Macaca fascicularis: one gene and its partner. The protein of the gene in region 2 interacts with the protein of the main gene of each other region in a biochemical or structural test. Links are inferred from orthologs where the notes say so. Each region holds a gene or a part of one and is shown on either strand. Other genes may lie near its edges. The genes, in order: COPS6 and COPS7A.

Region 1 (4,566 bases), on a different chromosome or scaffold from region 2:
GGCTCACGATGAACCTCGATGAACATCCAAGTTGACAAACCAGTGTGGTGCCTAACAGAGAGGACAGAGCCACCAGCAGGGGTGCTCGGGGGCTGCTCCCCTTTATTATTAATGACAGCGGTTTCTCTCAAGTGTAGCGCCCTCCCCTTTGGGACAGTTGCCTGACCCCTGTCCATCAGCCCTTCAAGTACCCTCCTCAGAAGAAGAGCCCGCGCATTCGCCTGCCGATGCCTTGTCGATCATAGAGGACGTTGAACTTGTTCACAAACTGGTTCATGGTGTTGCACGTTTTCGTGATGGTGCCGAGGTAGGCCATGAGCCCCACGTCGTTGCATTGCTGGGAGGGAACAGAAAGGACAAATTCCTCAGGGGATCCCTCGTGGCATGCCCAGGGAACAACAGTCCCCGGTCCTCCACGTGAAAGTGACAGCATGAGCCCCACCTCCCCATCCAGGTTTTAAACTCACATCATAAAAATCTGTCTTGAACTTGTCTGTGCTGAGCACCGGGAGGCAGTGACACAGAGCATAGGCCTCCCGCAGGATCTCATGATTAAAGGGGACCTCTCCTAAAGGCACAAAAAGAGGCTGCATTAGTTTGGATGCTGTCACTTCCCCAGGAGGGAGAGGAAGAATGCCAGGGAAGTGCCCAAGGAAGCCCCTGTCCTACCCGCTTCAGAGGCCTTGACGTACTCCAAGATGAGCTTGACGCGGCTGTGCAGCATCTTGATGGCGCTGTGCTGTGCTATCAGGTGTTCAGCCACTGCAAAGGGACGAGGACAGGAGGAGGTTGAGACGGGATGTGGCCACACCTTCCAACCCCACTTCCAAGTAATCCCCTCCATTACCAGTGGAGTTCTCTCCACTGCCTGTTGCTGTCATTCGGGCTACGTGGTCTACACCAATGCGTTCCGCTTCCTCTGTGGCCAGAGTGTAGGTCAGCTCAGCAAACAGCATTGTGGCCTACAAGGCAAGGTAACCCACAAAGGGAGAATCAAAAGCAGGAAAGAGGCCAAAAGCAGGATCTGAGGGTTCAAGGGTAGGGTATTACCTCTCCATTGATTATATCGATGACAGACTCAAAAACGCTGACAGGAAGCTGTGAAGGAGATGGAGAAACCTGAACACTATATGCCAACATTTGGACGAGCTGCTTTCACCCATTTCCTCTCATCTCATCTTCCCAAGAAACCAGTGAAGTAGGGATTACCTCCCTTCACAGTTTGGAGATGAAATGACTAAGACAGAGTTACAGCTGGTAAGTGGCACCTGGCATTCCCCAATAGAAGAGTATCACACAGTAAAAGGCAACAGTGACAATCACGACAGAGTAGGCATGGGGTATTACTCACATCTGTGTGCTTGGTCATAGGGTTCAACTTCAGAAAGAGGGGGCTCTCAATGATCTCACACACCTGGAAGAGAGGGACAATGCACAGAAGTCAGTGACCCCCACCTTTCTCCTTCCCCTCATTCTCCATTCTCTGCCCCAGCATGCACAGGTGTGAGCATGTATACCTGCTTATGGACGTGGATGTCCGAGGGGTCAGGTGGCCCCCCTGTGGTATACCAACCCAGAAACTCCAGCTCCTTGAACACCTGTTTAACTGGAGGGGAAAGGGCCAGAACACACAGTAATTCTTTTTTTTTTTTTTTTTTTTTTTTTGAGTCTTGCTCTGTTGCCTAGGCTAGAGTGCAGTGGCACGATCTTGGCTCACCACAACCTCTGCCTCCCAGGTTCAAGCAATTCTGCCTCAGCCTCCCGAGTAGCTGGGACTTCAGGCACGCACCACCATGCCAGGCTAATTTTTGTATTTTCAGTAGAGATGGGGTTTCACTATGTTTGCCAGGCTGGTCTGTAACTCCTGACCTCATGATCCACCCGCCTCGGCCTCCCAAAGTGCTGGGATTATAGGCCTGATTCACTGCGTCCGGCCTGACATAGTCCTTTAAACCATCCTTCCTCAATGTGAAACTCCTGGTGTATTTTCACCAGCTTCTCCTCCTTTCTCAAATCCTGGCTCAGTTTAGAATAATTACTCCCTTCTATCCTGTCTTCTCTCATCCTTTACTTTCTTTTTGAGAAAGAACTCTGAACGTGTTCTTTTTCTGAGATCTCTCCAGCTACTCTCTTCACTTTTTCTCCTCTGTTCTTGGCGTCCTCTCGGGTTTCTTTCCAACCCTCTCCATCTTCCCCACCTTGCACATTTTTTTTAACTCCCACTCCTCTTCCCCACATCTATTCCACTCTCACACTGCTCCTCCTTGGTGTAATAATATTCCTTGTCAATTATAATCTTCTCTTCCACGGTGTGGGACAGCAGCTCAAAGGAGTTCATCACCTCGATATTTCGGCCCTCCTGCTTGCCAATCAAAGCCCCAATCACTGGGAAAGAGAATGACATGGAAAAGGTAACGTTAAAGAGACTTCTATGACCTGAGGGTCTGAGATGAGTGGGAACCAAGTATTGGGGAAACGATGATTTGGGGGAGGGGAATTGGATCTAGTAAAGGAAGGGGAAAAGACCACTGTCTGGGGGAGGTGAGCAAGGAGAGGAGACTGGAGTCTATGCCCAACACTCACCCTGCACAGGCCGCCCCTCCTGGGAGCGCATGCGGATCCAGTGGTCGGAGATGTTGAGAATGACAAGGGGATGGAGAGCGACGGAAACACTCCCAGTCACTCCGGAGGCCATCACGCTGGGAACTACTAAGGGTGGAGGGAAAGAGAGAGGGTGAGAGTCCGGGCCCCACGTTCTTCCCTGAAGATAGCAGTGGGGGACGACGGAGCCCGGGCCACACTTTTCCTCCCGCAACTTATCCCAGAGAAAGATGTTGCTGCTCCGCCCTCCTCCCTTCTCCCGGGAGCACAGCAAGGCCTCAACGCACCCCTGAAGGAGGTCTCCGGAAGCCGCCCGCGCACGGCCCGTTACCTGCTGCATCCACCTCCATCCCGCTGCTCCCTCCGGTCCCGTTTGTAGCTGCACCCGCCGCCGCCGCCATTTTCCCCGCGCCCGCCAGCCTCGGCCCCGCCCCCTTCCTTCCCGGCTTCCGTAAGGCGAGCAGCGCATGTTCTGTGTCTCCGCGGCAAGCGGCGGGCCTGGCGTCCGGGGAGCAGGCAGTTCCCGGGTCGCGGCGGGCGGCACTCGGTGCGGGGAAGCCCGACGCCCTCTGGGCCTCGGTGCCTGCCGGTTTTCCCAGACCCTGTCCCCGCCTGTCGCCTGCGGGTGACCTTGGACAAATTAGTTAACGATTTGATTGATCGTCCTCGTCTGTAAAATTGGGATAAGAACTCCTAGTTCTTAAGGCTGTTGCAGAATGAATGACATGTCGTGTTATTTCCCTCACAATAAAATCCAGACAACTAACCACAGCCTGCAAGGCCCTGCCTGATCTGGCCCCGGTCTGGCCTCTACTTTTCTAGCCCTTGATCTTCAGGCTACAGCTGCACTGGCCCTCATGTCTGGTGGTGGTGGTTTGTTTTGTTTTGTTTGAGACAGGGTCTCGCTCTGTCGCCCAGGCTGAAGTGCAGTGGCCTGATATCAGCTGACTGCACCCTCAAACTCTCAGGCTCAAGTGATCCTCCCATTTCAGCCTCCCGAGTAGCTGGGATTACAGGTGCACCCCACCACACCCAGCTAATTTTATTATTATTTTTTTATTTTGATAGAGACAGGAGTCTCACTAGGTTGTCCAGGCTGGTCTCCAACTCCCTGACAGAAGCGATCCTCCATCCTTGGCCTCCCAAAGCACTGGGATTACAGGCATGAGCCACCACACCCAGCTCTCCGTGTCTGCTTTCCACATGCCTCACTCTCGCATTCAGGAGCCTGTGTTTCCTTCTCTTGTTCATCGTGGTATCCCCTGTGACCAACACGGTACCTAACACATTGGTGCCTAGATACTTTTTGAGTGAATGAAGGAATAATTTGGGATGGAATCTGGTGTTGAGTTGCTCCATCTTGTGAAAGTTGCAGATACCAGGACAAAAATCACATTGTCAAGTCCAAACAAATTGGAGTCATGAGAACACCAAGCAGAAGGGCTCATGCTTGCATGTCTGATATAGGGACTGTCTCAAGGACTTTCGAAAATAACCCCACAAGGCCAGGCATGGTGGCTCACACCTGTAATCCAAGCACTTTGGGAGGCCGAGGCTGGCCAATCACTTGAGGTCAGGAGTTTGAGACCAGCCTGGCCAACATGGTGAAACCCTGTCTCTACTGAAAATACAAAAATTAGCCGGACGTGGTGGCATGTGCCTGTAGTCCCAGCTACTCGGGAGACTGAGGCAGAAGAATTGATTGAACCTGGGAGGGAGAGGCTGCAGTGAGCTGAGATCGCACCACTGCACTCCAGCCTGGGCGAGACAGAGTGAGACTCCGTCTCAAAAATAAATAAATAAATAAATAAATAAATAAATAAATAAATAAATAAAATAACTCCACAAGGCCAGGCATGGTGACTCACACCTGTAATCCCAGCACGTTGGGAGGCCAAGGTGGGAGGATCACTTGAACCCAGGAGTTTGAGACCGGCCTTGGCAACATGGTGAGACCTTGTTTCT
Region 2 (3,095 bases):
AAAATAGGGCAGGAGATGCTAAAGAGCAAAAGAGGTGACTTAATGAATACAGAAACCCTGAAGTTAGATGGGGACACAAAGAAAATAAAAAAGAGGAAAAGGTCCATGGCCTGTGGACAATGGTAGTTATAGACCAATCGACAGAATCCAGCCTAAGATAGGCGACCAACCTTACTGGTTAGGATCCCCTCAGTTGTACCACTCCCTTTCCCTCCCCCAATTGCTGTATCAAAGACGCTGACTTCTGCCGCCTCCCAAGGTCTCCCCACTCCTGCATTCCCCAGAAGCCTTTGGAGGGATAAATTCATTTCCCTTCATCCTCCTGGGTTCCACCTCTACAGACCAGCCCAGCTCTTGCCCTCTCTCACCCTGAAGCGCCTTTCTCCTTCTCAGGGTGACAAGGAAGGGGACAGTGCCAGGATACGGTTCTCACCATTCCTGCAGGGTTCGGGCAATGGCATTGAGGTCCTGGCGCTGGATGTCCCGCCCGATGCTGTAGTCAACCTCGAGCCGCTGGTTGCGCTGGTCCAGGGAGCCACGAAGCACGTCAGCATACACAGCCTCAATCACAAGGTCTTCCAGCTGCCGCACATTACGCAGGGCAAGAGACTCCAGCAACACTGCATATGGGATACACTGGGGCCGCGCAGATCAGGTCAGGATTTGTGAGGTTCCGCACAGAAAAGGGCTTCCAAAAATCTTCCCTCCTTTTCCCCCTGCCCCAGCACACCTGCCCTCCACTCCCATTCCTAAATCACTTCCTCTAAGAGGCTGGTTCTAAAGCAAAATAAACAAAAGTATTCCCACTTCAAAAACAGCATCATTAGAAGCACAATCTTAAATAAAATACAAAATGCTCCCCTAACACCCTCACCCCTGCCACACCACAGAGGGAGAAAATGACATCTGCCTGGGTGTCACTCCTTTGGCCACAGTTCAGGGTATCACCCGGTCCTCAGTCAAGATCAGCTTGACATAGGGGAGAAAGCGGAAGTGGGAGAGGTCTGGAGTTACTGTTTATCATTTATACTCTGCCTGCTTGCAACAGGCATTCCTTTGGAGGTGTCTCTCAATAGAGAGCCTGGTTTAAATTAAATCCCGAGGACAACTGAGAGTCAAGTAACTATTGCGAGCTGCAGATTGGGCAGGCTGGGGAGGTGGATGGTGATATTAGACAAAAAACAGCCATTAATAATGGGAATATACAGATACTTCTGGGATATATATTTCTCATCCTAACAAAGAGAAGCCTAGCACTTCATCAAGAGAGAGTCTGGTTTCCTGCAGTAGGGAAGAAGGTATTGTTGAACAACACCTGAACAACATCCTAGTTGCTATTTTGACCAAATACACAAAAGATGTTTATTTAGAACTTAGGTTGATTAAAAAATAAAAACAACACAGAAAACTAAGAATACTATCAGCCTAAACGGTTGCTAATGGAGTTTATATACAGACCTTGGACAAGGGGAGGGCAGGAAGCAGCCATGGTCCAGACAAAGGCTGTCCTAGTGTGGACTCCCAGGGACATACAAAAGGATGCTCAAGACCGTAGGACTGGGGGACTGCCACTCACCTTTACTTTAGCAGCCAGGGTGACAACTGAGAGGTGTCGAAGCTTATTCTTCTGAGCCTCTGTTAGTGGAGGAAGATTCCGGGCTTCAGCTAGGGAAAAATGACAAAGTGTAAGGAATCCTGATATCAGTTTTCTGGGAAGCCCTAGCCTCCTTCCCTCCCCTCCCATGTTCAATGCCAATTCAGGTCTTGACACTGACCCTACGTGCCCAGGGGATCTAAGTGGGATATCCTGGGAATTTCTTCTGAGTCCCTCCAGAAATTGCCCTTCTCCCATCTCCATTACTCCAGAGCACCACACCCTCTGGTTACCTAAGTAGTCAGCGTATGTCCCATAAGCAAACACTGTGAGCAGCCGGAAGGTGGAGGCAAAGTCACTCTCAGCCAGCTGCAAGAATGAAGACAAAGGAGGTGACCCAAGTCTTCCTCTCCACCCTCCCAGCCTTACCCTGTGTGGAACTCCACTTTTTGTTCCATCTTTCCCAGCCAATGTTAACTCTCCTGGCTCATCAAAAGCAGTTCTCTGCCTCTCTGATCACGCTTCCCACAGGAAGGGCGCATTTCCACCTTCAGGCCTTTGCTTACACTATTCTCCCAATCCACAATGCCCTCTTGCTCCATACGCCATCCAATTCCTACCCTAAATTCAGAGTTGAAGACATTCAGTTTTCAGAGTCGAACAGACACACGCACCAGACACCGCAAATTGTGTTGTCTGGCCCTCAGAGTGTTTGATATTTCTAAATTGGAATATGTCTGGGCAGTGTGCAGTACTCCGCAATTCAACAGATTCCTGCCTCGGCCTCACTCATCTCTGACAGCTGCACAGCCTAGAAAGACATCTAAATTTGTGGTCTCTGCTTCAGACCCACCTGACCAGGACACTGTCTTGCATCGCCCAGTCCAGTCCACCCAGATTTCCTCTCCTATCATGGATCACTCATTCTGGCATTTTTTTTTTTTCGCGACGGAGTCTCCCTCCGTCACCCAGTTTGGAATGCAGTGGTGTGATCTTGGTTCACTGAAACCTCCGCCTCCTGAGTTCAAGTGATTCTCCTGCCTCACCCTCCCAAGCAGGTGGGATTACAGGCATGCACCATCACACTGGGCTAATATATGTATTTTTAGTAGACACAGGGTTTCGCCATGTTGGCCAGGCTGGTCTCGAACTCCTGACCTCAAGTGATCCACCACCTGCCTCAGCCTCCCAAAGTGCTGGGGTTACAGGCATGAGCCACTGTGCTCAGCTTCATTCTGGCACTTAATCAATCCTTGCAGAAGGTTGCTACCTAAGAATATCTTTCAACAAGATTATAGACCCAGTCTCTGGTATCCCACAGAGCTATGCAGTAATTGCCTCAGAAGAAATACTCGCTAAATAAATAAATAATTTAGATTTATATCCATTCATCTTATCTCTTCTGATATTTTTCTTGTATTCCCAGACCATAAAAAGGGCAGTAAACAGCCACTCAATAAGTGCTTCTTTTTCTTTTTCTGAGTCGGTGTCTCGCACTGTC

Evidence for each region.
Region 1: the proteins of COPS7A (region 2) and COPS6 form a complex in vitro, tested with the Homo sapiens proteins (3 studies listed by BioGRID, with this or other methods). The link is inferred for Macaca fascicularis from reciprocal best matches to the Homo sapiens genes COPS7A and COPS6.

Annotation. Positions count from the first base shown.
Region 1 is NC_088377.1:48,741,710-48,746,275, reverse strand, and holds COPS6 (COP9 signalosome complex subunit 6), read right to left. Parts: upstream 3,016-4,566; 5' UTR 3,003-3,015; coding exon 2,933-3,002; intron 2,710-2,932; coding exon 2,584-2,709; intron 2,386-2,583; coding exon 2,254-2,385; intron 1,607-2,253; coding exon 1,518-1,606; intron 1,415-1,517; coding exon 1,352-1,414; intron 1,099-1,351; coding exon 1,051-1,098; intron 963-1,050; coding exon 848-962; intron 763-847; coding exon 670-762; intron 569-669; coding exon 468-568; intron 338-467; coding exon 197-337; 3' UTR 78-196; downstream 1-77. UniProt on the Homo sapiens protein: Component of the COP9 signalosome complex (CSN), a complex involved in various cellular and developmental processes.
Region 2 is NC_088385.1:7,648,202-7,651,296, reverse strand, and holds part of COPS7A (COP9 signalosome complex subunit 7a), read right to left. Parts: intron 1,964-3,095; coding exon 1,888-1,963; intron 1,666-1,887; coding exon 1,577-1,665; intron 637-1,576; coding exon 434-636; intron 1-433.